2 linked regions of the Caenorhabditis elegans genome follow. The protein of the gene in region 1 purifies or fractionates together with the protein of each later gene. This does not show direct contact. Each region holds a gene or a part of one and is shown on either strand. Other genes may lie near its edges.

The links.
Region 2: the proteins of apt-9 (region 1) and dab-1 purify together in Caenorhabditis elegans (affinity purification with western blotting, with the first as the bait; one study listed by BioGRID). This does not show direct contact.

Annotation. Positions count from the first base shown.
Region 1 is NC_003284.9:11,061,056-11,076,716, forward strand, and holds apt-9 (ADP-ribosylation factor-binding protein GGA1), read left to right. Parts: upstream 1-7,471; 5' UTR 7,472-7,710; coding exon 7,711-7,750; intron 7,751-7,800; coding exon 7,801-7,880; intron 7,881-8,250; coding exon 8,251-8,334; intron 8,335-8,430; coding exon 8,431-8,707; intron 8,708-8,762; coding exon 8,763-8,890; intron 8,891-8,946; exon of another isoform or gene 8,947-9,036; intron 9,037-9,054; coding exon 9,055-9,207; intron 9,208-9,254; coding exon 9,255-9,438; intron 9,439-9,642; coding exon 9,643-9,731; intron 9,732-9,779; coding exon 9,780-9,833; intron 9,834-9,882; coding exon 9,883-10,001; intron 10,002-10,044; coding exon 10,045-10,208; intron 10,209-10,253; coding exon 10,254-10,423; intron 10,424-10,497; coding exon 10,498-10,722; 3' UTR 10,723-10,992; downstream 10,993-15,661. Other genes in the region: lpr-6 (LiPocalin-Related protein), read left to right, coding at 203-336, 386-575; lpr-5 (Lipocalin domain-containing protein), read left to right, coding at 1,267-1,755, 1,804-2,025, 2,073-2,198, 2,245-2,635, 2,685-2,947, 3,005-3,145; lpr-4 (Lipocalin domain-containing protein), read left to right, coding at 4,133-4,246, 4,295-4,432, 4,507-4,912, 4,985-5,152, 5,201-5,359, 5,408-5,505; W04G3.5 (Ribose-phosphate pyrophosphokinase N-terminal domain-containing protein), read left to right, coding at 12,609-12,744, 12,791-12,857, 12,903-13,075, 13,321-13,436, 13,485-13,572, 13,984-14,159, 14,303-14,449, 14,563-14,721; W04G3.12 (uncharacterized protein), read right to left, coding at 15,127-15,229, 15,290-15,437, 15,506-15,632.
Region 2 is NC_003280.10:8,217,256-8,235,113, reverse strand, and holds dab-1 (PID domain-containing protein), read right to left. Parts: upstream 12,727-17,858; 5' UTR 12,639-12,726; intron 8,799-12,638; 5' UTR 8,785-8,798; coding exon 8,676-8,784; intron 8,395-8,675; exon of another isoform or gene 8,274-8,394; coding exon of another isoform or gene 8,213-8,273; intron 8,167-8,212; coding exon 8,111-8,166; intron 8,058-8,110; coding exon 7,638-8,057; intron 7,562-7,637; coding exon 6,921-7,561; intron 6,876-6,920; coding exon 6,728-6,875; intron 6,600-6,727; coding exon 6,489-6,599; 3' UTR 5,965-6,488; downstream 1-5,964. Other genes in the region: nte-2 (Putative patatin-like phospholipase domain-containing protein M110.7), read right to left, coding at 1-1, 48-270, 317-448, 494-657, 701-802, 849-983, 1,073-1,282, 1,333-1,419 and 4 more; M110.9 (DUF148 domain-containing protein), read right to left, coding at 2,522-2,716, 2,763-2,858, 3,508-3,567, 3,713-3,796; ifg-1 (MIF4G domain-containing protein), read right to left, coding at 13,872-14,033, 14,105-14,330, 14,377-14,947, 15,001-15,967, 16,019-16,222, 16,277-17,369, 17,515-17,631, 17,676-17,769 and 1 more.

The sequences.
Region 1 (15,661 bases):
TAGTGAGATTGATGAACACAGTGATTGACAGGAGGCGAGAATTGGGTTAGCTTATCAACATCGGTTGACCTTATTTTGAATTATTTCTCCGATTACAATCCGTGTCTATTGGATTATGGAATTTGGGATTCAGAAATCGGGAAAGAAAAAAAGCGAAAGTGACAATTGTCTGACATATTTGCAAACATAACATCATTTACAGAAGTACAACAAGGAGGTTGTTGAGTTCATGAATGGACACGGATTTGGAGGAAATGTCTTCTGGAACAGCCCAAAGCCAATTTACCAAGGACCAGACTGCGAATGGCCTTCTGAAAAGGAGGTCTTTGCCAGAAGGTAATGTAATTTACTCATGTAACAGACAGAAAATATAGTTTATTTTCAGAGTTTTGAAAAACCAAGAAATGAACGAGCGCAACAAGAATGGAACTTCAGACCCAATTCTTTCCGGAATGCCACTTGCCGACATGATCCGCGACCCAAAGCGTACTTTGGAAAGACTAGTTGGAACAAAAGCTTTGCAACAAGCCACCGCCGGAATCACAGCCGGTCCACCAGCCAGCCGTAGCGAGTGACCTCATTCTACCATTTTTCGCCATTTTTCCAGTACTTCTACCATTTTCTCTTAATAATCTCTTTCCAATTTCTTCACGCACTAATTATCAATCTGTGATCCTTTAATTATTGTCTACATGTATTAATAATAATATTAATAATGCAATTAATAAGACACGGTTCCGTGTTCCTTCCGTTGTATCTCATTGTCTTTTGAAAAAAGAAAAGTTAATTCAATAAATTTGTAAGTTCATTTTGAATCAGTGTTTTACAGTAGACTTACAGTAGTTTTGCAGTCGCTTACAGTACAATAGTATTGATATTGAAGGTTGTACAACGTTTACTTTCAGTTTATCCTCCTTTCCGTTTTACCGATTTTCGGCGTCATCCATTTGACAGTTTCACTCCCGAACTTCAAACTTCCGATAATAAGATTTTCGGGCCTGTGTACCGTATCAAAAGCAATTCGAAAATGTATGACTGTCTTTAGAGAAACATACACTTGCTGCAACTAGCAAGCGAAACGAGGACACGATTTGAGATTTGAGAAGATAAACTCGAAGAGGCGAGAGAAGAAAGAGAACACAGAGAGGAAAGAAATCGGCGAAGGAGGTTGGACAAAAGAGAAGCGAAAACACTGGACGGATGACCCCGGTTCATTCGACACACCTTCTACAACATCCACACTTTTATTCATTTCATCCATCGAGAATGCTCTCGATAGGCATCCTCTCTATTTGTCTTGTTGGCCTTGCCGGCGCCCAACTTGACGCTTTTGCTCTTCCATCAGCACAACGTTATGCTCCTAAACCAACAGTGCCACCAGAGTTTTCCAATTACTTTGAACTTGATGGGCATGCTCGCGAATTGGTGGACTCTCTGCTAGGACCCCGCCCAGGAGGCCTTTTCCCGGAAAAGACGTTCGAGATTGGAGCCCCACAAGGTCCAGTTCAAAATGGAAATCAGCCAACACACGTTGTTTCAAGCCTAGAGAAGACACTTGAGTCATTCTTCACTGCTCCAGAGCTTCCCGCTGGCCAAGCACTTCCACCAGGATTTGGGTCTGGGTTTTCCGTTGCAAACAACAATAAGGCATTGACTTCTTTCGGAGACATTCGTCGTTCGCCATCAGGCAAAAAGGAAAACCAGGAGGTAGAAGGATCCGGTGCTGTCGAAAACTCAATTGCAGGAATTCCAAATGTACGTAAATCATCTTTCTGTCAGTCCGTTTTAAAATTTGTATTTTAGGTATTCTTGAAGTTGGCAAAACAACCAACTGCTCTAGTTGACGCATTCAACAAGGCAGTTTCGGTTCCAAGAGACTCCAGCGGAAACCCAGTGTTTGAGACAGCACCAGTTGTCCCAGAAGGTGGATTCCTTCCAACTTCAGAAGTTCGTCGCTCTCCATCTTCAGTATCTGAAGTCTCGCACTCAATTGATTCTAAATCAGATGAACTTAATACAGAAGAGGTAAATTTTTTTCGCAGCGTTCTCGAACATTTATTTTTATCTTTTAGTATGGAGGTCTTTCCGAAGACTCAAACTCGTCTGGAGGTGGATTGATTGGAACTATTTTCAATCTTATCAAGCTCGGAGGAAAGAAAGCTAAGGAGAACGCCAAAAATGGGAACGGAACCGCTCCAGTAAGATTTCATATTCTTTTTAACCATCTTAATCGAGTTAATTTAGGAAAAGAACACTATCGGAAAGGCTGTATCCAACCTCCTTTCGGGAGAAAACAGTCCATTCCCAAAACCTGGTAGCAACATTCTGACTGATATGCTTTTCAAGACTCTTTCCAGTGGTTCACTCGAGTCCAATGGAACTGAAATTGAGAAGAGTGAAAATGGCTCAATTGTCCTTACCCCAGCTCAATCTGCCGCCATCAGCAGCAATCTTGAAATGATTCAAGATCTTATCATCAAGCCAAACTCTCCACTATGCACACAAAAACCAATCCCGGTTGAATTTGAACTCGATCCTCTTATGGGACAATGGTACCAAGTTATCTACTCTCCACCAGTATCTACTGGCCCTTGCAGCATGGTTTCTTACAAAAAACTTAGTGATAATGGAGAAGGTAACGTGCATTAATAGATTTTAATCAGTTTTAACTAGTTGTTTTTCAGCCACCGGATCAATCGTAGATGTCTATGAGTACACAACTGATGGAACTCCATATGGAAAGCCAATAATCTCTTCTGGATATGCCTTGGTGAAAGGAAAGGGAGAACTCATCTTCAGAACAAATTCCAACAAAGAAGATGTGACTGTGCACATTCTTAGCGTTGGACCATTGAATCATCAGGGAGAATATGAATATGTTGTCATGTCCACCAACTGCAACTATCCAGTCTATGTATTTGCAAGAGATACTAGCATTTTCAAGCAGGTATGAAAATTAATTAACAGTGATTATGTTGTGATAATTCAACTGATATTATTTTAGAAATACGAACCAGTTGTCAATGAGTTCCTGGACAAGAGCGGAATTGTGAATGGAATCTCTCGCCTGCTTAATGTTGTTGCTCCAGTCGACAACACTATGTGCATCTTCCCACCACATCTTTTCTACAACCAAGGAAGATAGTTTACTCGCCACCATCTTAATAATTTCTAATAACTCCTAATAATTTTTAATATGGTTTTTTTCCATCCATCATCCCGTTCTCATTGCCCTTTCTTCTCTTTCAACCCTCGGGTGATTACCTCATCTTTTTAAGTCTTAGTTTACAATCCAAAGCATTTTTCTTTAATTTTCATTTAGAAACTACACAAAAAATCAGGCCGTGGGCTCGTGCATTCCTTGTTGTATATAGAATTTCGAATAATTTATTCCTTTTTATAATTTCGGTTATATTTTTTCTACGTCTTTCACACTTGTCCTAATAATGTTGATAATATGCAGTTAATAAATTTTTTAAACTATCTATTTTTAACATTTCTTTAGTAATGAAGAAAGAAGTACAATTATTAAACGGATGCGCAATTCTTAACAAAAATGGCATCGTCGAAAAATCAGAGTTGATGTTTCTATAATTGATCATAAAGGATTAAATACAATTAATGAATATTCTCAATTTCTCGGCCCAGATCATTCTTACAACCATGTTATAAAATTATTCAGAAAAGTCATTTTTTAGAACTTAAAACTTTGGTTTACGAAAAATGCCGATTTTGACTTATTGAGAAAGGGGTTTCTTCTTATTTTCTTGTATCAATTTACTCATTTTTCAATTAGGTCAGGTCAAACTCTGGAACAGTGTTTGCCTGTCACATTTATCTTCATCATTCCTATTTCTGAGAGTATCTCTCTATCTCTATCAGAGTAATTCAATCCAGAGGATTAGAAAGGGGTACGGGGAAAAGCGAATATCGGTCAAGTGAAAGTGGTGACTGTCGCAATGATTCGCGGATACAGTCCAGTGAATCTTGCATGAAGAGACGCAAAAGAAGAAGCGAAAATTGGCACGTAACGAGAGTGAAAGCCTATCGACGCTGGACATTTTGAGGTCAACATATATCTCACCCGGACGATACAGCCCATTGAGAAAGCCCACACTTGGAAGTTCTAACGATGCAACGGCTGACGGCGGTTGTTTTCGCCTGCGTAATTGGAGGAGTTTTCCTCGCTGCACCAGATGCACCAACATTCGATAGCCTGCCCGCTGGAATCGACCCAACTGCAAAGGTAAACATTTTGTATTTTTTTCAGTTATTTGAGAGTGCTCAATTTCAGATTGGACCACCAGGAACTGACGACAAAGCTCTTGTGAAAGTTGGAGAGGTGGCTGAATCAATTTTGGATAAACTTGGATTCAGTACCAGAGATGAAAAGGATATTCGTCGTGCCCCAGTGCCAAGTTCTTTCTTTGGAGTGAGTATCTATGTAAATCTGCTGAATGAAATATTCTTCTCGTTTCTGAAATTAAAAAAAAATCTGACGTTTAGAGTGACGATGTCAACCAAGTTATTGAAGAGGCTAATGCTAATCGTGTTGACCTTCAAGGAATCACCTCTGGACAAATCCCAGGACTTGCTCCAATCCCAGTACCAGGATTCCCAGGACCACAGGACGCACCAGTTATTCCAGGAGTCAACACTATTCCAGGACTTAGCAATTTTAACTACCTTGTCGGACAACTTTTCCCACAAATGATTCCACCAGCAAACACTCTTCTAGGATCTTCAATCAGCAGAATTCTTCCAAAGGATACTGCAAAAAATATCGCAAAGGATGTGTTCAGAGCTGTTCACCCAACTGCTGAAAATGTAGATACCGCTAGAATGATGGGAAGATGGTTCCAAGTTATCAACTCTCCACATGTCATCCGTGAGGCCTGCACCGTGTCACACTGTAAGTAGCAGATTATATATGTCTTAACTAAAACACTTTTTTTAAACCATCTTGCCAATGTTCAATTTTCAGTCGGAGCCCTTACGAACAACACATACTCTGCTTCCTTCACCATCCTCAAGTTCTACAGAGAAGGAAATCCAAATGGATCCCCAAGATATGCTCTCGGATACGGATTCAAATCTGGAGAAACTGGACAATTCGTTCTTCACAACTCCAATTCTGCTGATGCCGAGCCTTGTAAGTTATAAACTAACTACATAATTGATAGTTGTGAAATATGCTCAGTCTGGGTTATCAAGATGGGACCACTCAATGAGTACAAGCAATACGACTACGCCATCGTTTCTACCTGGGTCAGATATCCAGTCTTTGTCATTGCTCGTGACCCAGAACGCTTCAGAAAGCTGCACATGAAGAATGTCCTCGAATTCTTGCAACAGAACAGTGAGTTAACATGGTAGAGCTTTTTTATTTAATAATTTTAATATTTAGACTACATCAACGTCATGACCAAGGCCTTCAACATGATCTCTCCAGTTGACTATGAAGCCTGTCAGTACACTCCAACTTTCTCTGGAACCGGAAAGTAATTGCTTGCAAGCGCCGTACGACTGTCATCTCGCTGTCGGGTATCCTCCATCAATTAATTGTTTCTCCCCAAACATTCCATTCTGTGTGTAGACAGATTTTGTAATAATAATAATTATAATAATGAAACTAATAACAACAAGAAGTTAGTTATAATAACTTGTAATTTTTCCCTTTCCTTGTGCCTCATTAATAACGGATTCTATGAAATCCTGATCCTCAGTTTGACAATAATAAACTATTTGATATTAAACCGTTGATCCTCAGCAAGTGTATATATTTTAAAATTAAATAAACAGCTTCTTTTTAGTTACATAGAAACTGTAAACTAAACACTCCGAAGGCAGTTTAAAAAAGGTAAATGAAGTTTACAAAAATGCCAACATAGTAGTGGAGCGGGGCCATCGGAAACCGATTAATATTTCAGATGTGAAATAGCTAGACAATTATTCAGAATGATCTACCGTTTTGAGTAACATAATCTGTTAAAATTTAAACAAGTCAACAATTGCTCATTATTTTTCTAATTTCATCATTCCTACAAACTAAAATTATTTACAGAAACTGCTCCCTACTCTGGAAGTTTGAACCTTAAATAATAAAACTTCAGGGATTTGAATTTGTGTTCCGCAATTAACTGTTTAAGCTTTTGGATTACAAATGTCTTGGTTTTATACCTGAGGTTTGAACAAACAGTTTTCAAGATTCACAACATCCATTTAAACTTTATCACCGACTCACAGAAGATGCTTCCTACGTGCCAGTTATTTTGAGAGATAAAGAGGAAAGCCTCTTTGGAAAAGTGCAAGCAACATTTTTCAAATATCCAGGTCATCTTTCCCAAATCTTGTCGACCAAAGGCGACTGTGTTGCGCATTGCGCTTCTCAGTGGATTATGTCAGATTCGATATCAAAAGTTTTTCTTGGACAATTCTCTCATTTCGCTTTCGTAACAAAATTGGGTCATGGTCGGTTGTGTTTTATCTCGAATTTCCCGGATAGCTGATTGTAGAAATCGGATAAAAAGAATGAATTAAAACAGGGAAGTTAATTTGAAAAATTCGAGGAGAAAGGCAGCCGGAAAATTTTATTTTGCGTGTCAGTTGAGAGAAAAGTGTTTATTATAAGCGTGTTTAGTTCAGGACCTGATACTTACAAACATGGTAAAAAACGAAACTGGGCAAATTAGGAAAAATCGAGTATTTTGCCATTGAAAACGACAAAAAATGTTCAACAGTGCCTGAATAAACCATGAAAGTATTGCCCAAGATAATTTTAAGCAGGTATTTAATATTAGTAGTATTTAATATTAGTAGGTAATCAGGTAACAAGTATAGGCAGGTATGCTTAAGGTTCATTTTTATTTTGCTGAAGATATTTTGCTTTAGCTACTTTCAGACATTTCCCCGTATATTTGCAATATGTAGAAGACTGTAGTCGGAGAAATGTATCAAATAAGTATCTTCAAGTAAAAACGTTCTAGAGAATTGCCTGCAAATTTGAATGTTTAAAAATTGACAATTTTTTCCACAGAAAATATATAAACAATTGCATAACTTTTTTAAACTTTTTAATTATAAAATTTAAATCAACTCTACAAATTTCCTCTCAATACTCATTGATTTTCTATTTTAAAGGTTTATGTTCATGTTCAACAATTATATTCACGCGTTTAAATTTTATTCCTAGATTGCTCAATTCATTATTCATTGTCCTTCTGTTCAGGCGCATGTTTTCCGAAAGATCAGCATTTGGGCACGCTCCAGGACAAGCATCAAAATGACAAAATTGAGTTTTAGCTCTCTGAATGTATGTCTCAAATCCGAATCACAGAACTATTCTTGGTCACGTTTAGTGCACATTGTGTTGCATCTCACTGGTCAGAATAAGGGGTACTCATTGCACAAGCTCAAGAAGACGACGAGAAGCAAGATGATGAGTTGCGGCAGACGACAAGACACATAGATCGATAGGCGCCGGTGATGGAAGTGGAGAGCAATGGAGCACGCCTCTCGCCCCCGGGCTTCATTTGAAACCTCTTCTTCTTTTTTTCCCTTCTTTTGCTACTTGGGGCCTTTTAGAGAAAAAAAAGGAGTTGAAGAAGAAGGAAAAGTCGCCGTTTTGCTGTTGTGCTTGCTTGTTTTTCCTATTTCTCCTCCTTTTTCGTTTTCTTCCAAGTGGTGTGCACCAGTTGAACGCTAGCTGCAATGGAGGAAGAACCAGTGCGTCCCATTGACTACTGGGTTTGTAAGTGACACTTAAGTTGGGAATGTGCAGAGAAATTGCAATGATTTTAGGTCGCGCAACAGATAGATTCATCGGTGACGAGGAAAGAATTAAAGCATTGGACTTCATAATTGAAAGCATTTATAAACAAGTAAGTTTGAAATTTGTGAGAATCAAGGAAAACAATACAACTGGACAAAGATATTTTGAGAAACAATACTTTGAAAATGCATGTCCTTTGTTTTCGTTTATTTTCAATTTGATTAGATGTAATTTGCCTTTATTTTTTAGTTAAACATATAACTCAATTTCATCAGTTTGCTTCCGTTTATTGATACTTGGGTAGTGCTCAAAATAATTAAATTCAAATTAATGAATTGAAATCAAAACGTAAGTTCTTTTCTAATTTCTAGCATTAGAAGTAATTTCTGAACCTAAAGATTGAAAAAAATTGAAATTTTATTAAAATTAATATTCCCGTGTTTAAATATCACAAAGATCTACAACGTACAAGTTTTCAGCCTGCAAGTGCACTGCTCGCAGTGGATCTTTTTTCACACAAGCTTTCAAGTCCTTCACAAGAAGAAGCGATGCTTACAATCAGAGTGAGGATTCGTTTACTTCAAAATCATGTTCAAAGATTTTCTATTCAAAAAACCATATTAGACAATTATTTTTTAGTTTAAAATAATGTTTTTCAGGCTCTTGATTATTTAGTACGCAATGGAGGCGAAAAGGTTCATGAGCGCTGTGGTCGTTACAAATTCCTAAATGAGCTTGTCCGATTGATAGCTCCCAAATACAATGGGAAATTGACAAGCGACGCACTGAAAACGGAAATCATAAAGCTGCTGTTCATCTGGCAATTGTCAATCAAGCACATTCCAAAATACAAGCAAGTGTACGAGTCATTAAAATTGAGCAAGATAATCACTGACGATCCGCATGTTAGAGAAACTGAAGTTCCTGTTTTCGCAGGTGATTTTCTCTTCACTTTATAATAATAATAAGTAATATTCACGTCTATTTTCAGTTCCACCTGTCAGGTCATCGGTGTTTGACAATGAAGAGCAAGCCGTTCTTTTGAAAGCTTTATTATCAAGTAATCGCCCAGAAGACTTGGAAACTGCCAATAATCTAATCAAAACTCTTGTAGAAACTGTAAGTTTTTTTTTCAAAAAGTCAATGTTTCAGTCATTGAACATTGAATTATAGTCAAGTAGTCGAAACATCAACTTTGAAATCAACTCTAATCAAATTTTCACGCCTGACGTTAGTGCATGTAAATTCACATTAGACGTAATCCACCCACGAGTACATTGCAGGAAGAGCACAAGCTTGTCAAGATTCATGAACGCCGGAAAAAGTTAGATCATGCTATCAACCTGTGCAATCAAGTTGAACATCTACGGCTCGACAAGGCGGCGGAAACAATCGGACTCGGAAATTATTCGCCAGATAATGAACTTACCCTTCAGGTTTTGATTAGTATAAACACTTTTAATTATTAAAAATTTCGGTTCAGAGGGTAACGAATGAACTGATTCAACTTCAAGAATTGTTTTATGGATATGTCAATGAACTAGCAGAAAACAATGATCCTTGCCTAGAAGAAGTTTTAAATATTAACGACCAAATCAATAGAGTTCTGCCCGAAAATGAAACTCCGAAATGTGGAAATAGAGCCCCAATTTCGGCAAGAACTCAGTGTAAGTCCAATTCGATTATTTTCAATTGGTGGGCTGTTTCTTTGACTTCTTCATTATTAGTTTGTGTTAGCATTTAGTTTCTATAATAAATTAATAAAAACCACTGAACAAAAAAATATTCTTATTTTAATTGTTTATTCATTAAATTGAACTGCAACTAAAAAGATCGCATCATTTCAATTCTATTAATAATGATTATTTAAGTGGATCCAGAGAACCAAGAATTGCTTGTTTTCAACACACCAACAAGCGAAGTGCCTCCTAAGAACGGATTTTGTGACCCCCGTGATTTGGTTAGTAGTTTTAATACTCAAACTTTCCGAAAACCAATGATAATTCAGGAAGGAAGTTTGCTAAACAATATGATAGAGTCGGAGTTCGTCGAAGAACCAAAGGTTGGTTGGAATTATTTTTTCAAAGTTTACGGACAAAAAAATTTTCTAGATCGTTCCCGTTCAACAAATGACGCCCGTTTTGAACCGGAACAGCTCAGCAAGTCCTCGTGCTAGTGGAGACTCTTCTATATTTGAAACTGATTTTCTGGCTGGGAAACGGCTCCCAGAGTAAGAATTATTCATTTGAATAATGTAGTTCAACGATTTTCAGACCTCTCAAACCACCGACATTGAATGAGTTGAAACCAAATACAACAACAATTACGCTAGAAGCTTTAGAAGTTCTGGTACCACCAATGTCCCCAGAACCAACAAGTCTGTCCCCAAAAGCTATCCCTGAGAAAGTTGCACTGAACCCAAGTTCAATAATAATGAGTTTGTGAACCAAGTTACTGAACAAGTTTAATTCAGAAATTCCAGGGAATCGCGTACCCATTGAAGTACTCTACAGCAAAGGTATGAGGATTCTTCTCTACTATTGCCAATCAGATATGACTGTCAGCAATATTCATTCTTATGTGTTGGTTATTCAGAATCACAATAATTTCACAATTAAAGATGTCAACTTGAGCTTGAAAACAAATGATAAGGTAACTGATCTTCAAAAAACAAAGCAATTATTCAAATTCTAATTTCCTAAACCACATCATGTTGATTCATTTAGAATGTCATTATCCGGCTGCAGGATTCTGTCAACAATCTTGCTGGTTTCAATATATTTGGTCAGCAAGAAACAATCAACCTTCTTCTTTGCATTCAGCAACTTAATGACGTCAAAGACGTTGAACTTGACTTCACTCTAGCTTACAAAAAGAGTTTAGAATCGGCGATTAGTGGAAGCTTCACATTACCCATCATTCCAGAACATATTTTTAATATTAATTTTTGAATTGTAAATTGAGAAAAATATTTTTTCGTTTGTTTTTTTTTGTCCCGGTTTACATATTTTGTCGATTTCGAATGACTAGAAAATGCTAAACATCCCCAATTTTGCTTGTATACGTTTCATGTAAAGGTTTTTGCGAAGGAAAATATAAATCTTGATTTAATCTTTTAGCTCAGGCAGTAAAACGCTGGCATTAAATGCAATCTTCATGGCACTTGTGTTGGAGAAGAGTACAAAACTACCAAGGATTAATTTTAATAAATATCTTTATTTTTCCATGTATATGTATTCATTGAACATTATATTGTTCAAAACAACAATAAATGAACTGAAAATGGTTTTAATAATACTTTTCTGTCTTTTAGAAAAAATATTTTATGTTAACCTATGTCGACAAATATATTATTGACGGTGTGTCTAAAACGTCAACTTTTCATATAGCTCAATTGGGTCTCAAACAACGTTTTGTTGTTAAATTTATTAGAAATAGCTTGAAAACATAAACTTTACAAGAATGGTTGTAACATTAGCAACTGATTGATAACTCGGTAAATTAGCACCACTTCACCACCAACTTTAGCCACTTTATAACTGCCATTTACAGAAGTGGCAAAAATTGGTCGAAGTTGGGCAGTGTTTTCACGCTCTGAACAACTGGGAAAAGTTGGTTGGAGTTCGCAAACGTTGACCAAAGTTGGCAAAACTTGGCGAAAACTGGTCAAGAAGTGGACAAGGTTGGCTAGAAAAAAGGTAAAGTTAATAAAGTTAATTGGAAAGTGGTTGAAACCTAGTGGAAGTTAGAAAGTGGAAAACAAGCAACAGGTATATTTTCTAGTGCCGAAAACAAAATGTAACGGTTATTTAAATGCTAAAAAGTTTAAATTATATCAGCACGATGAAATGTCAGTTTAGTCTGTGTATTTTATATATATATATTTATTCAAAACGTCGTAATTGTGAAACAAATTCACGCTTTTAAAAAAGTTTTAATCAAATTTTTTTAATTTTGGAAATTTGAAGTTCGTTCTCATTTCTTCTAAAAAATACTTTGAGCATTGTGGATTATGTCGTCTAACAATTTGCCACTGCGAGAATGCCAAATTGTCGTAAGGTTCGGTGTGCGCGGACTTGCGGACCTGCGGGGTGTCCGTGCGTGAGCGTTTCCATGCACCCCAAAACACCTTTTTTCCCGACTCGTATCGATCTGCAACTCTCTTCACAATATGTTTCTTTCGATTTCTGTGATATTTTCATTTTTTTTATTGAGTAAATTTTGCCTAACAAAAACGTTTAAGGCAAATATTTTGCATCTTTCGGCGCAGGCACTGCCGACGTTTTTGTTTTTTCATGTTTCCACCTTCTGGCGCTCACACAAAGAAAACACCTGTACAATCGTCTTCAATCAGTCAATATGTTTCTTTTTATCAATTCTTATCATTCCGTCTTCTAGTCTCAAAATATAATTTGATTTAAATCGGTCAATTTCTCGTAAAAACATTTGAAGGAAATTATCGATTTTTCAATCCACGCCAAAGCTCTTTTGTGTGCTACAGCTAAAATCAAGTTTCGCAGATCATTTCAAATGATTAAGAGTCTTATCAATGTCAATGACAAACTAAATTTGTCGGCTCGAGGCATAATGTATGGTTTTCATTTCTCCTTTGTTCCTTTCGTGTTGAAAAATATATGATTAACTAGTTTTGTCGCAGCTCTAAAATATGCATGTTTCCAAAAATTCCCTATTGTTATTGGAGCGCACTTTTTGTCTCTCCGTCTCTCTTATCGTTTGATATGCCTATAATCTCTAGCCACAGTTGTTGTTTTTCATTTTTAAGTTGCGATTCCATTTATCGATTAATTAATATTTTACTTACATATTTCAGAAAATCATGCCGGAAAGAGCTGATGCAAGCTCCGGAATGGTGCTTCTTACCGGAAACTCGCATCCTGAGTTGGCGAAAATGGTGTCAGAGAGACTTGAGATTCGCCTCGGAGAAGCGACTGTTTACAATAAAACTAACCGAGGTAAAATTTTGTGTTGCATTAAGAAAATCTAAAATTATATTGACAGAAACCTCCGTTGACATCAAACAATCGGTTCGTGGAAAACACGTCTTCATTCTCCAGAGCGGGTCAAAGTGAGTTGCAAATGTTCTTGATGGAAACTAAATTGCAATCTTAAGGAACGTGAACAACGATGTGATGGAGCTGCTTGTTCTCATCTATGCTTGCAAGACATCGATGTCAAAGACAATCACAGTCATCATGCCATATCTCCCATACAGCAAACAATGCCGAATGCTCCGTCGTTCGTCAATCGCAATGAAACTTGTTGCCGAGATGATTTGCAAAGCAGGTTAGTGTGTAAAAAGATTTGCTTTTACACATTACTAGAACTCGGGCAGTACTCAGTTCTAGTTCTAGTTTCAGTTTTAGTGCGAAAAAATGTGTCATCGACAGTTTTCACATAGGCAAATTTTCGAAAATTGGGAGAATTTGTTTATGTATTATATTATAGTTTTTTTTTCGATCTTTTCCAAATTTTTAAGCCGCTTGCCAAACAAAAAGGTTTTCATAGTCATAAAGTGTTTTTATTTTCAGGTGCCAGTCGTTTAGTCTCATTGGATTTGTACAAGAAGGAGATTCAAGGATTCTTTTCGTGCCCAGTTGACAATCTTCGTGCTTCACCGTTCTTCCTCCAACACATCAAGACCAACGTAAGATAATTCCAACAAGTCTCTGGAAATATATCGGACAATTTACAGATTCCGGATTACAAGAATGCCATCATCGTTGCCAAGTCGCCGGGAGTCATGAACAAGGCCACTTCTTACGCGGATCGCCTTCGCCTTGGTAACATATTTGAATTTTTGAAACTAAATTTCCTTTAAGTACCCTCATACAACTCAATCATCACTTTGCAGGATGTGAGTTATAAATTTAAAAGATTGAGAAAGTGAGAAATAAGCTTATTCAATTTCTTTCTCATTCACATATTATACACAAACACATGATGGTTGGGCGAGTTAACAGACATGGGAGTTTTTCTCTTGATATATTTTTTCTACTTGTGGTGAATGTTGTCTCTGAAACGACGACTCACTTGCACCCTGTTTTCGAAACTTCTCTTTCTCTCTATCCGGCTCCATCTATATAAGTTTTGTCGACTCCCTCTCATTTTTGTCTCGTTTGTCCATCACTTAAGAACATCACACATAACACACTTCATGTTGAGTTTTTCATAATATCCTGTTGAATTTCCAGGTGTGGCTGTTATTCACGGAGAACAAAAAGACGAGGAAGAATCAGGTCTTGAAGATGGACGTCAATCGCCACCACCAAATGTCACTTCGTACGATTTTCTCCCAGCTCAGGAGTCCAAGCAGAAGCCACCACTTACAGTTGTTGGAGACGTTGGTGGACGGATTGCAATTATGGTGGTAAGTTATGCGATACATTTAAAGCTTTAATTCTGTTTTAACAAGCTTCATTAATTGAACAAAGTTGGAGTATTGCTTTGTACTGAGAGAAAGATTGACTCCATTGACACCACCAAACGGAATTTAATTTCAAATATTTCCAGGACGACATCATTGACGACGCTCAATCGTTTGTTGCCGCCGCTGAAGTTCTGAAGGCTCGTGGTGCATACAAGATTTACGTCATTGCCACTCATGGGGTTCTGTCGTCTGATGCTCCTGCACTTCTTGAAGCTTCTCCAATCACCGAGGTTAGTATAAGAAATGTATCATTTGTCACAGAGTTAACAAAAATTTTTGAAAATTCAGTTGACGCACTGATTTATGGTAGAAACAGGCTCAGAACAATAATTCAAATATTCAGGTCATTGTTACCAACACTGTTCCACACGACCTCCAGAAAATGCGTTGTCACAAGATCAAGACTGTGGACGTCTCACTGATGATTTGTGAGGCAATTCGCCGCATCTTTCACAACGAGTCGATGGGACAACTGTTCCGTGACGTCACCCTTGACGACTAGTTCTTCCGGTTACTTGTATTCTTCTCATTGCTCTCAGTTCACTTTGTCTATTCCAAAATTACGCTTCTTGAGTCCGTCTAGTTAGACCACTTTTCCCCCAACAAATCATCAATCACCGTTTTACAATACATTTCCTGTGCCAACTTTATACTTTTCATTTATCCGAAATATATGCTTTTTGATTGATTCCCATGATGAATACAGAATAGGTCTCAGTGCATTGGAAAAAGTCGGAAACTAAACTTATATTTCAGTTGACAAGGATGCACATGTATCAAGGAAATGCCAGTATTTCAATCGTTTATTTAGAATCGAAAAAATGAGTTGAAAATTATCTATGTGTTGACAATGAAGAAATAAGTTACGAGGAGTGACAAATAAATAAATACCAGTTATTGAATAATTTTAAAAACCAAAAGCTCTTTTAATTTTGTTCCAGGTTTCCGTCACTACTTTGTTCACATAGACCATAGCGTCGTATCCGTATCTCACAACAGTTTGTGTGTACCTTTAATACAAGTTTCAATGTAATTTGAAACAGAGAAATTATAACGATTGGAAAACTTACCGACTAGGGCATTTTTCCAAACATCTTGTAAATTCTGCATCTGATTCACGTCGATCAAATGGATAAAATGGCGGATATCTCCTTATGCTTTCATAATACTCGATAACATCGTATTGATTGTCGTGAACACTACAGCTTTTGTTAATTTCTGAAAACAAGCATTCCGATTTTTCATTGATAGTTTCAGAACGTTCTAATTGAAAGAAGCAAACTCACGGTATCTATCCGACGACGGCGAAGCTAAAATAAAGACAAGTCCTCTGGTAAAAAATCCACCTCCACAATCCCAGCATTCACTGACGCTTACAGAGTTAATAATAATAACGAATATCATCAGTTTCATCCTAAAATATTGAGGTTTCTGAGCTCTAA
Region 2 (17,858 bases), on another chromosome or scaffold:
CCTGAAAATTCCGTAAAATCACGTCTCGACCACCGAGCAGAATTCACCTGTGGATAACGAATCTTGACAAAACTCAGCAAATTCTCGGGAATGCACACAATATGAGAGAATCTGACAGCCATCACCGTGTTCCTTCTTGGTCGTTTCTCAGCCATATCAGTGATTCCGATTAGATCCAATCTACCATACTCCTCAATTATTTTCGTAGAGTCAACAGCTCGAAGACGTCCACCCATCACAATATGCATCGAATCTGATTTATCACCTTGCCTGAAATGTTTTAATCTCATTCAAACAATTCAATGCAAAAACCAACCTAAACAATGCTTGTCCAGTTTCAATTCGATGCCAATGAACAGCCATATCGAAGACTCGAGCAAATGGAGAAATAAATTGAAGTGCATGAAATGCTAATCGGAGATATATAACAGGATGTGCAAAAAGGAATCTGAAATATTGATCCAATTGGTAAATTGTGAGAAATTCAACTCACTGAATGTATTCATCTCTACAAATTTTGAAATAAATCGTTTTTTCCAAAGCTTTTGCACTGCACATTGCTGGTTCATTCGTCAGTATTTGCATGGATGGAAGCATGTCTCCAGGATAAACATCAAATGTCAGCGATGTTCCAGTATCATCATGTTCCAGATCACCCTACAAAAACCACCCCAATGGGAATCTTTTCCAGTTATCCTACTCTTTTCAGTCGCAGTTTTCCGAAGACCACAAATATCATATCAATTTCAAATGAATTCTCTTCAGTAACCACAGTTCCTGCTTGGCATTCGTATTTTCTCACCTAAAATTTTGAAAACTAAGAACGAATTTTCTGAATCGATAATTACTTTTTCTCGAAGCTTATCAGATTGATCCGGTATTCCCATTGCTTGAGCTATTGCTTCAACGCCTTTGTTCAATTGTTCAGCTTCAGTGAGTTTATTGAAGTCTTTGAATTTTCCAGAATCAGGAAGTTTTCGCTTCTAAACCAGAGCGTTTTGAACTTTTTTTGAACTACAGAGCCCGAAATGTGCAATCATGCATAAACCTTGACCTGTTTCATGAAACTTACCGCATTCAAACACTTTCCACCAATTCCCAAATACATGTTACATGTAATAAGTGTACATTGCTGTAAACGTGTCATCACGACTTGAATTGTACGAATCCATTGCTGAGGATTCGCGATGAATGAAGTATGAAATGAAGTAAGGTGATAAGTAGCAACTCGGCAACTTGTCAAAGCTTTCAGATGGATGTACTTATTATTTGGTTTCTCATTCTATAAGTTATTCAATTTTCACAAATCACGAGTCCAACGACTGAAATTACCATCAAAATTTCGATGATGGAAGTTTGTGAGAAATATGATTCACCACTTCTAAGTGTTTTAATATTGCAGTCGTAACGCTTGTCACCCTAAATGATATATTGAAAACATTATTTATTGGATCTATTCACTTACCAAACTAACATTTGTAAAAATACCCAATTCTCCAGAAATCACAACCACTATTACATCATTAGCACGTCCAGGAGACAACACTACACTTCCTGTATCAATTGACAATGTTTCAACATCTTTCGGGTCTAATTGCCATGTTGTGGGTAATTCAAGGCCTTCTAATGCTTTCAAAACGAAGAATATTTCCGGTTTGATGTGTGATGGTACTTGTTCTTGCTCGTTTGGCTCGAAAAGTTCTCTGGGAGGCTGCTTTGAAATCTTTTCACTAGAGTCTCGTTTCTTATCTGGTGTCATCTCCTCCTTGCTTGATCTGTAGTTTTACAATACTTTGAAGATTACATTTGCAATATGCTGGATTTTTTGAGGAATAGTTCTGACATATATTAAGGGGTTCGTGTAACTTGAATCCAGCTAGTCAAAACCATTGGGAGTTCTCAATTGCAGCTAGAATCGCTCAAACCCTGTAGATTATAAAACTTATTTTACCTTTTCTTGTGTCTTAATGGACTGATTGGATAGAATATTGGATTTCGCTCCGGCGGATCAATGAACACTTCCGAGCTATTTTGAGTAGTGTCAGGGAAATCTGAACAAAACATAATAAGTTAAGCTACACGAAGGCTATTCATACATTGCAAAGTAGCATCTTCGAGTTGTTTACTAGGCCAGAAGTAATAGATAAGTATCACCAATGTAATACACATACATAATTCTAATATCTGGAATATACTTATCTTTTATTAAATTTAGAAGTCTAGGCACTTACGTTTTCAAATATTAAAAGTAATACCGACAACAGGTAATGTAACATTTCGGAAAAATGCGAAATATCCTATTTCTTCTCGAGAACTATTCGGAAATAAATTGAGTCTCCAAATTGAAGAAAACTTTTTTGTTGAATACCGTGGCGGGATAAAAATTACGTGTACACAATTTGACAAGCCAATTAATTAGAGCTTGTTTATTTAAATTCAGGCAAAATATAATAAAATAAATAGGCAAATTCAATAAAAATGTACAAAACGTTTTTAATAGTTGATTCAATGATACAATAAATCAGTAAATTAACGAAAACAAATCCTTGTCGGAGAGAAATCTTGCCAACTCATTTTTAGTATTATTATCCATTGAAGTCGAAATATGCCTCAGAATTCGTTCTTTTTCACCAACAGAAAGTGTTTGATTCTGTTGTGTCATCACTATTCGGATGAGTTTTTGTTGTGTTCGTGTCGATAGTTTTGGTAAAACTTTCTGAAATTTTCAAATAAGTTTTTTAAGATAAAAATTGAAAACTCACAAATATTCTAGATTTTCGTTCTCTTTCATCTTTTTCCACTCTCAACTTCCAAGCCTTGTGCTCCTGTTTCGTTTTTTCATCCAATTTTTCTACTAACTGAAAATGTTTCTATTCTTTTAACTATGATAGTGAAACAAGCAGCCGATAAATACTATTAAAGAAAATAATTTTGAATTTGCGTGTAGCAGCTAGAGAAGAAAAGTAAGATTTCCCATTCTAGTGTATATGGAATTTGTGACAGCTATTATAATTTTTTTTTTTGGAAGTTTGGCGCTGTAAGTTAATTAAACTTATCATCGTCGAACGTGGCCGAATATCATAATAATACTCCAAAAATTTGTTAGGTGTTTCAAAATGTGCAGTTAATAAATTGCCAGATTTTCCAAAAAAACGGACTTTTTGAGTAATTTCGGTGAACTTAGAACTAATTGTAAGTAGGTTCCAAATTGGATAACAATTTGAAAATCCAGTAATTATCTCTTAAAATGAAATAATAATTTATAACGTTCGCATAGCGCCGTGAAATTGGAATTTTTTCATAGAACAATCGTAGAACATAATGCTTTCGTTAGGTTTAAAATTATTACTTTCGTAGTCAAAAAAGTCTAGATGTAGTGAGTGAAAATTCCATAGCATGTGATTTGCCGATTGAAGCAGAACAATATATAGTTTAGGTTAAGTTTAGATTAGTTTCAATTAAGTTTCAATTTTGTCAATTAAACACTTTCCGATTCTAGTTACTTACCTTGTCAATTTCTTTGTTGATCTGCTCTATTGTCTTTGTTTCTGCACTACCGAGGATTTTCTGAAAATCTTGTTTTTTAGGTGACACAGTAATCAAATATTATTTAGATCTGGGAAATAATATCAAATTCTTCCTAAACAAGAATTCGGAAATAACTTTATGTGATAATACTTATAATATTTCAAAACATTTTAGGTCTTCTTACATCAATAACTTCCGTTGACGGAGCTCTTTGTGTGCTGACAAATGCACAAAAGACAACACTGACAATGGCAATATTTTTGATCATACCAACAGAAAATATATTATTAGTGAACACCGGATGACAGGTGTGATTCAGGAAGACTAATTGTCCAGAGATGGGCAAGACAGCTCTTTCTCACAAATAGGGCGGAGTCGTGGCGCTGTACAAACAATTGACCAGAAACAAAGGAAAACAACAAGAAGAGAAGCCGGACTGTAGATGTGTGAAAAGTGTCTGTGGCGGTGCAAGTGGTGGTGGGCAAGCAAACATCATGTTATCCTCCCCGATTGTTACAAACCTTTTGTTTTTTTTTTTGCGAATTATTTGAATCAGAAACTCTGTGAAAAAGGGAGTAAGAAAGTGCAGTTTTCACAATACTATTCTTGGATTTATTAGAGCAACTTGAAAACTGTTAGCAACCTTGAAGGATGATATTTCTGAAAATGCCACAGTCGATTGAAAACTGCAAAGAATTGGCAAAGTGTATGCTTTGTTGAGAAATAAAAGGTGAAGTGTCGCAACTGGGGAAATTATTTAATTTAATTTAATTTAATTTATTACGATTTTTAGTCGTGAAAATAATATGCACAACAGGCAAAAAATAATAATAGAAAAAATACAGACAGAACACAATAGAGAAAAAAATCAAAAGGAAATGCAAATCGGGAATATTCAAAGGAGAGATCAAGACGTGGAAGGGAAGAGGACAAATTAAGAATAATATCAGATCAGTGTTGTTTCATAGTAGAAAGCGTTCTGTTAACAAAAAAGTGTCTCCTAAGTTTAGTTTTTCCTGTGCGCCAGACATATTTCTTTTTAGAACGAGTGTGGGTCGCTTGTTGCTCAAAAAACTCAGATGTTTTTAAGTCTACTTTACCAGTATTCATTCTGATTACTTGGATTCTGTCAATTATTTTACGTCTCGTGCTTAAGGTTTGGAGGTTGAATAGTTCGTTACGTTCCATGGCTGTTTTGTAATCTTTATCAGTTGGATTAATATACCTTTTTTTGATTCTACTATAAAGGCGCCTAGTGAACGCGTTTTGCACAGACTCTATTGCTTTCTCATCCGATTTTTTCGTCGGAGAAGACACTACTGTTCCATATTCTAGACGAGGACGAATGAAAGTTTTGTATAAAAGAATCATTAGTTTTTTATTGGAGGTACTGTACTGGTTAAAAATGTTGGCCAGCTGAAATTTCGCCAGATTGATAGATTTCTTCCAATACTCCGAGAAATCCAGTTTTTCTGATATTAGAAATCCAAGGTCTCTGGTAATTGTTTTTCGCTCTATAGGGTAACCGTCAAGGTGGTATTTAAAATCTTTTCTACATCTCCCTACTGTGACGTGAACTGTCTTAGATTGGCTTAGGGTGAGTTTTGCTCCCCTTGTCCAATCCACTACAGCGTCTAGAGCAGCCTGTAAGTTGTTTTCTGTTTCCGCCTTAGGGGTCGATACATACAATTTCACTCCCAGGCTGTTAAAGTGCCCAAACAAAAATTCGGCTTGCGTCGAATTCAATTTGATTTTCGTCTCTCTGCTCGCGCCATCACAATTGATTTCAAATTTAAAAGAAGTATCATAACTTCAGTTTAAAGGCGCACGCTGGTTTTTTCTGAGTGAATCTCGCTACGATCTCAATAATAGTAGTCGCTTGAAGTCCCAAGTTTCACAAATTATTATTTGATGTGGAAAATGGAGACCCGAAGAACTCGGGGGATGTCCAATTGGGGGGATTACCAACTCGGGGGATTGGCCCCGCCCACAGAACCGTGGCTTGCAATACGCCCATTTCTGCAACTGCCGCACGGTTTTAAAATTATTTTTTCTTGTTATTTCTCGCTCTATTGAGAAAAATACAGTTTTAAAACCGTGCGGCAGTTGCAGAAATGGGCGTATTGCAAGCCACGGTTCTGTGGGCGGGGCCAATCCCCCGAGTTGGTAATCCCCCCAATTGGACATCCCCCGAGTTCTTCGGGTCTCGGAAAATGAAGTAAAAAAATAAAATTCTTCCGTGCACAGAGAATACAAAAGGGTGTGCGCCTTTGAAGAGTACTGTAGTTTCAAACTTGTGTTGTTGCAGAATTTTCATCGACTTTTGAAAACGTTTGAACATTATCGAACATTTGTGAATATATTCGTTTTCGGTTTTTTTTTGTTTTTACTTCCCTCCTTAAAACAATCAGTGTTCCTATAAACTTATTAACAAATTTTGACAGAAAGCATTTCATTTCGCAAGGCGGAAGAGCAAACCGATAATATAAAATTAGGCGAATATAAGGGAGGTGAGAGATTGACAAGTTGGTTGGAAAACGGCCCTATAGAATAGCGATAGAATATCACAGAGATGGTTGGGGGGGGGGGGGGGGTTGATGGTGGTCCATTGAATGCAATATATAAAATAATAATAATACAAAAAAACATTTCCCTAAAACGCTAAACAAATCAATGATGGTTAAAAAGTAGGAAAACAAGGATTTTTGTTAGCATTGCTATGAATATGAATTTTTGGAAATTTCAAAAATAAAAAAGAACAGGAAATGTTTTGGGTGGGTGTGTGAAATGATGATCACCGGTCTAAAGTGTATGCGATAGAAACTGAATTAAAACAAGTGAAATACAAAAGGGACTATGAAGAATTAAAAAAAATTTTACAATTTACACACAAAGAAACGATAGAGTGCTGTTGTTGCATGGCACATGAGGTCATTGAATAGAACGATGTTTGGCACAATTTATCGGAAGAAATCATCACCAAATGGATCAGCATGAGATGAAGTCGTATGCTGTTGAGTGGCAGCCATTTGAGCAGCAGAACATGTTGTCGACATGGAGTTCAGAGAAGCCTGAAAAATATTTAAAAATGAAAATACTGCAATTAGTTTACGGACAATTTCACAAGTTCCTACTCCACTAATTTTTTCAATTTTCAAAGATAAAAACTAAAAAGCTAGTAAAATAGATTAAATTGTACCTTTGGTGGGTTTAAGATATGCTCAAATGGATTCTTTTTTGTCTCCTTGATACCCTGTCCACCAACCAATGCGTCCATATCAACCAATTTCGTGAAAGCTTCTTCAAGCGACGTCACCTTCTTTTCACTCCAGGTTTCGGCCCTGAATCTTGTTTTTGATTATTATTAATTTAGGTTTTAGAATATCACTCACTTATTATCTCCAAAGTTGGCAAAAGTGCTGGCGTGATGCAATGATGACTGCTGTTGTTGGATATTAGTAGATGGTGCCATATTCTCTTTCGTAGTCCCAGTTCCAGTCCAATCAATATTTGAATTTGGAATAGCAGAGGAATGTACAGAGAATGGATCACGGTATTGTGTTGGAGCAACAGTTGGAAGTGGTGGTGGCGGAGCTTGAGTATTGAAAGCCGACGCAAATGGATTAGTATCCGAGAATCCGTTTGTTCCGAAAGCAGGTGTACTATGAGCATGGTGCATTTGTTGCTGCTGTTGTTGTTGTCCCCAAGCGTCAAATGATCCAGCTCCGGATGTTGGCCAATTCTGATGAGATTGTTGAGGAATTTGAACCATTGGCATCTGCATTTGTTGAACTTGTGGAAGTTGAAGTCCTCCAAATGGCACTTGAGTTCCAGACATATTTGCAGTTCCATTTGACGTGGCTGTACTGTTGAAGCTGTCTACGAAAGGATCTCCAAATGGTGATGCTCCGAAGGCATCACAGTTTGTCGGGACAGTTGAAAGTTGTTGAACTCCTCGTTCAATTTGCTGAAGTTCGGATTCCAAGTCGAGAAGATCAGCGACGGCGACTCCACCTTCCTTCTTGCTCTGGAACTTTTATAAAGTCATAACAATGGACTTTTATAATTTAAAAATGCATTGGATCTTTGGAATTATTCTAAAAACTCACACTAATTTCAGCTCCACCATCTTGAATCTGTTGTTGCTTAACTTGCTCAATCTGTTTTTTCTTCATTTCAAAAACAACTTGGAACATGTCTCTGATAGCAAGAACTGCTTGATCAGCTGCCTGTGCTGTTTTGATTCCATAGAACTTGTACTTGCCTCCAGGTTCACCGTAAACAAGTCCAAAAGCTCGAGCATCAGAAGAATCACGAGCGATGAAAGAGATTCTTGATACTGGGAAATTATGAAGAACAGCGCCGCTCTTTTCATCAAGAACTTTGATTCCATCAATGTTGATTTGAAGAGTAATACGTGTTTTGTGAGCTCCAGCAGCCTTGATAATACTCTTGGCAGTTCGCATTGCTTCAGCACACATTGCATCTCCTCGAGCCTTGTCCACATCTTGTTCTCCGATCAGCTTTCCCTGAAATAACAATTTTACAAAAACTACTACATGAATCATTAAAAAAAACTCACCTTGTAGGAAATTCCATTGTTTTGAAAGCGAAACGGATCCGATGATGCATTTGATGCTAAAAAGTTTAAATTTTAGATTGATAATTATAGAGTAAATCATACCCCGCGCCTTTTTCTGCTTGAATGATTTGGAAAACGAACGCCCTAATTGCGTCTTTTTCATGATAATTAGGTATTCACTTAAAATGAAATTTGCAAAATCTATTAATGAGTTTAAAAGTATACAAACACTCGTTAGAAATCGATATAGAAATCACATAGAGCGGGCGCTAGAGAGCGTAAAGAGATAAGAAAACGAAGTGAGACGCAGAGAAGAAAGGAGCAAACTTTCTGCTTGGCAGATCATTGTCACAAGTTTTTGGGGGAAAAGAAAGAGTGAACCAATAAACTTTGAACTCTTTCCTGAAAATGTTATAGATAACAAAAAGATAACATTATCTATCTGTTGAAAATTGGCAAAAAGGCTATCTTCTCGTTAAATTATCAAATTGATATCTCTACATTCACAATTGGATACTCTCAAAAATTGAGAAATCATTTTTTCGGAACTCAGCTATGTTCTCACCTTTCTTGGTTCTCTTCAGCATTGCAAGTCGGGACTTTGGTGATGGTGGATTTGGTTTTCCAGATGTTGCATTTGCCGTTTCCACTGATATATCCGACTTTTGAGCCATTGTTTCGAGAGAACCTTTAGAAATAAGATTTATTACAACGAAAAAAAAATAGAATTTAAAAATTACAGTAAAAGAAAACTAAGAGTATAACAAAGCTTTTTGGAACGAAAGTGAGACCAAAAAGAATTGTGAGGTGGTGGTGGGGGATAGAGTGTGAAAGGAGGGTGAAATCATGATCAGCCCCCTTGGGGGCACATGATCGACCGGTTTTCATCTCCATATCGGAATAAAAGAATACAAAAAAATGAAGACGACCGTGAAAAAGTGCAGTAGTCATTTTTCATACTTCAAGGTGACAAGTTGACACTGGATATGTACTTGTTATTACTTTCGAAATGGAAATAAGAAAAAATGTCGGATTCAAATAGCAATACTTTTCAAAAGCACTATGCAATCTTGAAAATAATTCTTAGGTAAATAAAGTTATTTCATACTGACAAATATTTTGAAGACACACCTTTCCAATTTGAGCGACGATATATTCTAATTAATTTATGACATGATTCAGAATAATATTTCAAAAAACGCGAGATCATTACGTAGACGTAATCTAAAGTTGATACGAGTTACAGTAACCCGTTGTCCGCGTGGCGAGACCGAGCGCGTAAGATCTGGCGAAAAATTCTATGAAGCCGAGAAATTGATTTTTTACAAATATTCAATTCAATCTTTTTTATTTTATTACAGTCAACCTTGAACTAAGAAAAATAGACTGTTCTTCATTTATTTTGCGGTCAGGGGACATTCTTTTACATCAGCTGATTACAATCTTGACAGGAATGGGAGTACGTAGTGTGTGATGTAGTTAGTTTCATAAAATCGAGATCAGGACTGTAACTTAATTATTGTAATAGTCAATGCATAATAGAACACTAAATCACAGTAGAAGAAAGAAAACGAAAACAGATTGACATTGTTAGTCATCCAAACCGAAGTGAGTCACTACTGTGTTGACTGGAGAATACGACAACTGTGAGGATCTGAATTATTACGAAATCAAGAGAAATCAGCCATAAAACTATCGGAAATCGTTTGGGCGATCCCAAAACTCTTATGTGTAACAAAAACGACAAAAATAAAGAAGATTTGTTGACCAACAATCAGGTAATGTCGTCAAGTTTTGCAGAGAAACATTTCATGACTAAACCAAATAGGGAAAATCAATACAAATATGGAACAATAGCCAGAACGACGGAAACATGGCCAAAAGGTGTGCGTAGCTTTGCTCAGCAACCAGACGATCAAGTTGCTCTCACACTCTCTTCTTCCGCGCGGAAACTCGCCGGAACACTCCTCCTTTTCCTCCAAAACTCAATGTGTGCTTGACTACTAGATTTACAGGACACACACACCTTCGGGGATGCCGCCAGTCATTTTGCAAACATGACGTAAAAGAAAGACAGCTGCAGTCAGTCTCTTGTGAATTTATCTGCCTCTATCTGATGTCCTTTTACCTCTCTGATCTTGATGATTCCTAGGCTAGGATCCCCCGTTACGTAACATCTTGATTTCACATTTTGCTGCGTTGAATTAATGCGTCACCTGGACAGTGGATGGGAAAATGGGCAAGAAAATCGAAATATTGGAAGAAGATGTTAGACACGAAGGCAAGAAAAATCTTGTTTCTCTTTTATATGGGTTAGTATCGAATTGAAAACTTGGGAAACAGTGAATAGCAACATAATAATTATATCCTAACCAGCGTAATTTACCAAAATATTTCAAAAACTTTCAAATCGATAGGGATAATTTGAAATCGTTTTAGGGTACTGCACATTACGCAAATTTTTTGTTCGGTTCAAAAATAATTAAAATATCATTCTTATTCAGCATTATTATAAGGACAAAAATAAAGGAACAACATTAATGCAGCTAGGTCTATTAATGTCAAATCCGTCGGGAATCGTAATAAGCTTAGCTGTCAGATACGGAAACCTAAGTATTTACACTCATGTCGAGTACTGTAGCATATATTCAAATGAGGCAAACCAAAAACCGGAGAAACGGAAAACAAGCAGGCGTCAAGAATGAGAATGAAAAGAAGCAGAATAACGTTCATCTAACTGAATACTTCGTCAGCACCATCATCATCAACGTCTCCTACATCTACTAATCGGAGAAATCTCAACACACTTGTGATCATGGCCATCATTAGAAAATTACTATTAATATAATGATGTCTTTTTTTTCGTTTTCGCTTCTATTCAAGTCTGATGCGATGATAAAATTCTGTTGATGACGACGACGAAGCGGCGGCGGACGTTTTATGAAAATCAGGTTCTTTTTCGGAGCGGAAATTGAAGGTGACCGTTGAAAACACAAAAAGTAACTTCGAAAAAATGAATTTTATTTCTTTTTGTTGTTGTTATTGAAAACAAAAAATCGAGAAGAGAAACACCCAAAATTCTCAAAAGCATCAAAACAATTATTGGAAAGAGACCGTACTACGAAGGGATTATAATTCCAATATGAACACACAATAAAAGATGCGAAATAAGAAATGTGTTATACTTCTTCAACACACAACAATACCATCTGAAGGACACACTAACCAAATCGATCGAACACGTAAGTAATTGGAGTTGAGGTCAAAATTGCAGCCGAGTCAGTAGTAGTAGGCGGAAAGAAACAATAGTGACTCATCTAAACAAAAGCATGAGTGGGAGGGACGGTGAATAAAGCGAGGGACTTTTCGTGCCGAGACCACGAGGATTGACGAATAACATCTATCGATTCAAGTAATTGAAGCGGAACGAACGCTTTTTGGTGTTGACGGGAGGATTGGGTGGGGACGAACGGCGGGACAGGATAATTACCCGAAACTGCGCAGAAAAAAAAACATGGACAATGGTTTCAAACCAAAATTGTGAAGATCATGGAAACTAAATAATAGAGACAAGAAAACGAAACTTGTGAGTACCAATGGTAGTTCTCTAAAATAGAAAGTAAAATAATGTTTATTTACTACAAAGCATACAGAGAAGATGTAGATTAATTAACTACTACTATACTAAGCTCTATTGAAACGGGAAACCATGTCACTATGCACCATGTCAACAATATGGTTCAGTACGAAGCGTTAATTTTTTTGGAAACAGAATGTATTTATCTCCAAAACTCTTTTAAAACCCGCATCGTTTCGTCTAAAAACTCAGATAAAAAGGTAGAAAATTTCATTACTAGGGATATTGAATGATATTTTATAATTTTATAATTAAGATATTCGAGTTTTCTTAAAAAAGGACGCCTCAGAAACCACTAATTTTATCATGCATAAATAAAACTGACAGGATCAGATCACCAAAAAAGCCGGCTTTCCTTTGCCTCCACTCAAATTGAGACAAATATCGACTGAAGAGGGACCCCTACTAATGCTGCATGCTGGACATGTCTACGTCTCTCATCCTCTTCTACTTTTCTTTTCTTCACGGACATCCTCCGCGTGTGTATGTGAGCGTGCGCGCACACGAGAGGTAGAAAAGGGTTAAAAACACTCTGCATACAGTCACTGTGTCCAGACCAGTTTTTTGTCTTAGACTGAGAGAATAGTTTTGAGGCGAAGACGAGAGAGAGAAGCGAATAAAATTGAAAGAAATCAGTTGCCTATTCTTCTATTCATTGTCGCAAACCTCGACAAGCATCACCATTACTACGCAGATCGAGAATAAAGTTTAAAATTTTATAATGTAAAGAAAAATGACAAAAATTGAAAACCTGTCTCAAGGAAAGATGAATGAAGTTTCTAACGAAAAAAGAATTGAGATTTGCGCGGGTAGATCAAAGGTTACTGTAGCAAATTTTTTCAAAAACTATTTAATTTTATAGGTCTAAATTTTAAATAAATTCAAACAAACCTGCGAAACGGCGAAATTCTCTCGATTACTGTTTATATTATTCCTTCTCATATTAGATTTCATTTACATTCGCCAGTGACACGATTTCCTAAATATTTATTCAAAATCGAGTCAACGTAAAACTGTGAGCATTTGATGAGAAAACAGAGCAAGCTATATAAATGGGGAACAACCCCAACAAGAACTATGATGAAAAAAAAAAAAAACAATTTTGATGCCCATTTTTATTTGTGGTGGAGGTGGTGATGATGATAATAACGGAAGGACAATTAGTTAAAACAGGAAAAACGTAGAATTCAAGGAAGTGGAAAATTTAAGATGGGCTGATGAGAGGATATTAAAATTAACCAATTGTCACAATTTCTAGAAGATCCAGGAATCAGACCGAAGGCACTGACTTACACACAATTAGGAAATTTGGAAAAGAAATGAAGCTAAGAGCTAGTCAAAAGTCTTCGTTTTACGATAAATTCGATGCAATTCAACGAAATTCCAGCACTCCGAAAAAATTCAGCGACTTTTCGACCGTCTCTTAGAAAAGACCCTTTAAGCACGAAAACAAGCATAGCAAGAAATGTTCTCGGGACCAACTGGTATGGAAATATGAAGGGAGAAACCAATAAAAAACCAACAGCTAATTTAGAAACAATAAACAAGGAGACTATGAAAGGGTTATTCAAATAGAAAAACGAATGAAAGAAATGGGAACTGGGAGCAAATAAACGAAACGGGAATCCAAATGAGGATATAAATATTTAATGATTTGGAGGAAAACGTGATATTTTTAGTGATCATCAGAAGAAAAGGGTAAGGTGGGTGGGAAAGGGGCTATAACGAGTTGATTTCTGCGTCTCGAAACGAAAAATGAAGAGAATCTTCACGTTTCGAGACGAGTTGTAGAATGAGCGGAAGTTTGCAGGAAAAATGATCTGAATGTCTGAAAATTGATTTACTTCAGCTAAATCATGATAATCAGTTATTCATTTTGAAACTTTTCTTGCAAACCTCTAACAAAAGAAAAACAAGCAATAATATCGAAAACCATTAATGGGATACCCAATAAGACATAAAATCGGTAGGGATGGACGCGCGGCGAAAAAACGAAAAACTTGACATGTTTAGACCGTATTATCAACAACTCGTTCTTATATAGATAATTAAAATGGGTTTTAGCACACAAAAAAGTTCTCTATAAATCTACTGTGGAGTTTGAAAATCCAAAAATACGATAAATTAGTTGCCCGTCAAATAGCTCGACAACGTTTTTCCATTTTTAAACGTCACTGCTTCCATTTCTGCTGAAAGTCCTTCTTCCATCTCAGTCTTTAACTTCATGTCCGAAAACTCCCACGAGATTCCTTCTGCAGCGCCAGTCACTTCAAGCTCAAGCTCGATCTGAAAAAAATTAAATTAAAAAAATAAACGCAATGTACTGAATCTGAGCACTAAAATTTGCAATAACTCACCAATTGCTTCAAAACTTGAACAAGAAGGTCAAATTTCTTATTTCCTTCTCCTTTGGCAGCTGAGAAAATTGGCTTCATGTCCGCTAATGAGAAAGATTCAACTTCTCCAATTTCGTCATGTGGAGCATGACTTGTGTTCACGAGAACTTCACCAGTAACGGTCCACAATTTGGGATAATCTTGCTGGAGCTCAACATCATTAGCGAATTTGCAGAAACGGGTAGCTCTGAAATAATTTGTAAAGCTCAATAAATCATAAACTCTTGCCTTACCCCTCTATAAAAGCTTGCTTCTCAGTCTTGCTGACCAATGACATCCGCAGAGCAATAGCCAACTTCTTTCGATCATCATCCTTCAAACCTTTTTCGATCACAGCTCGGATAATCATCTCATAGACTACTGTCAATGACGGCGAACCGTATTTTTCTTTTCCAACATAATCGGTGATAGAGTCAACCAATTCCTTTTGGGAGAGCTCACCACTAGACATTTCTAGAAGATCGGATTTAACGGTATTCATAATCTTGGCTCTGACAGCTTTCTCTTCTTCAGTCAGCTCATCGTCGGTCTTGTCAGTATTCGAATTTTGTGATGTGGATCGCCGCGAAGAAATTGACATTGCACTGATTTCCTTTGCAGCAGCTAAAGCGGCCTGTTTCTCGTCAACAGTCGACTTTTTGCGTTGATCATTGGAATCACGTCGCCCCCAAGCTGATTTGACTGGAACGGCAGATTCGGAAGAAGTGTTTCCTCCACCAGAAGCACCAGAATGCCACTCTTTTTTGCTCTTCCCAAGAGTATTATTATCCATCGAAGAGAGCGAGATGTTTTTGGGTTGAACACCTGGAAATTGCAATTAATTAATATTGAAGAAATATTTGTCTGAAAATACTTACTCGATGAGGCAAGTTTTGTGTTAGCTGCAGCAGCGGCTCTTTTTTGTTCAGGGTGTTGCATTCCTCGGTTCCTATCCAATGAATTCCTGGAGACTGGAACTGATTTTCTGAGAGAGTTGCTGTTTGGTCTGACACCTCCATGACGACGATCACGATCCCGATCATATTGATCACGAGCTTTCTCATTTTCAATCTTCTCTTGACGAATATCTTTGTGAATTTCATCGATTTTTTTCGGTCCAGACTCGGTAGATTTTCTTGGAATCCATTTGTCTTTGCGAAGCTCCATAAGATTCATGATCATGAAACGGATTTTGTTTGAGCAGTAAGGTTTGGCAGCTTCCAACTTCTGGAACCATTGATCAAGGAATACGGTCGTGGAATCTTTTGATTTATCCAACATCACGCCTACAGTCTCGATGAGTTGAAGACCACAGTGAATAGATTCCTCGTCGACATCCTCTTTTTTAATATCTTGGTCCTTGATCGAATTGAACAATTCGAATGTACACGTTTGGACGATTTTTGTGGATAAAAGTTGATTTCTATACAGATAACCCATAAACGTCATAACTCCGAACTTTCTCCGTCTAAATTTCTGTTTCTCCTCTGCAAGCATCAATTCCTTTTTCACTGGATCTTCTTCTTTTTCGATGATTGCCAGTTTGTCTGCATCAATGTCTTTTTTATCCTGGAATGTCATCTGCGTCCGAGTCAAAACCTTATTTCTGAAGGCTGACTTTCCGCCGGTCTGGGATAGTTCATGATTCGCCTGAGCCTTACACATTTCAGCGTACAAAGCACAGAACTTTGGCTCTTCAACTGCCTTGTCAAAGACGATTTCGACAACTTGAGCGAGCTGCGCATCGTTGGAGGATACATTGTAGGAAATGAATTCTTCGGTGAGAGGACGTTGTGATGTAGGCGTCACCTTGTTCATAAGAGACCGAACCTTCTTACAAACTTCCTGAAATTTGGTTTAACAGTTTATAGTTTTGATTAATCACGAATAACTTACAATAACCGCAGCTTCCTCGCTTGCAACAGCTTCCGCGGTTTTTTGACGGTCTGGCTTCCATGCATCTTTCGATGATGGAAGTGTAACTCTCTGAACTCGTTCAATCGAAGGTCTAACAACTGGTGGTCGCTTGTTGTGCATACGATCTCTTTGCTGCTGACCGCCACGCCCGGTTCCATCTGTGGTTGTTCTTCCACGGTATGGCTGAAAATACAATATTGTTTGAATTATGGCTTTTATTAAATAATGATAACTTACAACCTGCTGGCGGTTTCCTCCTTTGTTTGCCCAGTTTGGTGTGAAATTAGGCTTCTTATTATCAGAAACTCGCATCGTTTTGATATCCAATCCGAAATCAGCTAGCTGAGCTGGTGACAGTGGACATGGGGTCCGAGAGAAAACTTTTTCAATTTCGCGAATAGTAACCATGAAATCTCTTCCAAAAGTTCCATCCGAGATGACAGCACTTCCGGCCAGGATAAGCTCCTCGATTCTTTTCTCTAAAGCTTCCTCGCGAAGTTTTTTCTTTTCAATCTCTTCGGCTTCTTTCTGTGCTTTTTCGATTTCCAGCTCCTCAGGAGTCTTTTCTGTAGAAGAGTCAGCAACGTCTGGCGTACTTTCTCTTTCATCATTCTCCTCAAATTTATCATCATCAGTTTCCTCTTTTGATTCTTCCTTTGTCAGTGTTGGAGTAACTCTGACATCAGCTACAGTAGATGCTGATTCTGCAGTTCCACTGGCGGGCGTAGTGGTGGTTGTGTCTGATGCATGGGGAGATGAAACAGGCGTCACAAGGGTTTCTGCTTGTTTTACTTCGTAATCAGCCTTTGCTGGTGCTTCTGGAGTTTTCGGAACGGACGGTACAACTTGTGGAGCTATGGATGCTGCTGGAGGTGTCTGTCCCAGGGCTGGCGGTGGTACGCTAAAATTGGGAAGTACAGCAGCTTGCACCGCAGCTGGGACCGCAGCTGGGACCGCAGGAGGATTATCATGTCGTCTGTCTTCATGATGTAGTTCATTTTTGACCTGATTCAAGAATTCTAAAGTAATGTTTTGTTTTTTCTTTTCTTCCTCTGGGGCAATCGGGGCTGCTGGAGCCGCTGGCGCTGGTGCAGCTGGTGCAAGATGAGGCGTCACTTCAATTGCCTTTTTCGTAGTTGGATCGACAATTTCCAGTGCTTTCCTTTGCCGTTTAGGTTCTTGTGGAGCTGTATGAGTCATCTGTTGTTGTGCTGGCTGAGCTGGTTGATATGGCATTTCTGGGTGGTATTGCTGAGGAGCTTGGTAGCCTTGGTACTGTTGATTGTACATCTGTGGTTGATGACCATAGTCCGGTCGCTGATATCCACCACTGAAAATGATATTCATGAAAAACTGGTAGGTAACAGAAGTAAGCGTTTGGGATACTCATATTTTTAAGAAAATTTATTTTTCAGTGTGAGTAAAATTTTGGAAATGATAAGCTAAATATATTTAATATTTAAAAAAAAACTTACTATTGTTGCTGGTGCTGTGGTGCTTGTGGCGGATAATAGTGATTTGTTTGTGGTTGGTTGTATTGTTGTTGGCCATATTGTGGATACGCCGACTGGTTCATTGGCATTCTTTGATAGCTGAAAAAGAACTTTAGCCATGGAAAATATTTTCAACTTCTTACTTTGAGTTCACTGGGCCAGATGTGTTAACAAATGGCATCACGAATTGTTGGGATGAATCCTGCATAGGAACTGCATTGTGATCTGAATGAAAACCTTGAAGGAATTAGAAAACTGACAAAAACCGTGAGCACTTACCTTGATTCGGCTTCCCTCTCCCAGGCCCCCTACTAACAGCGTTTGAC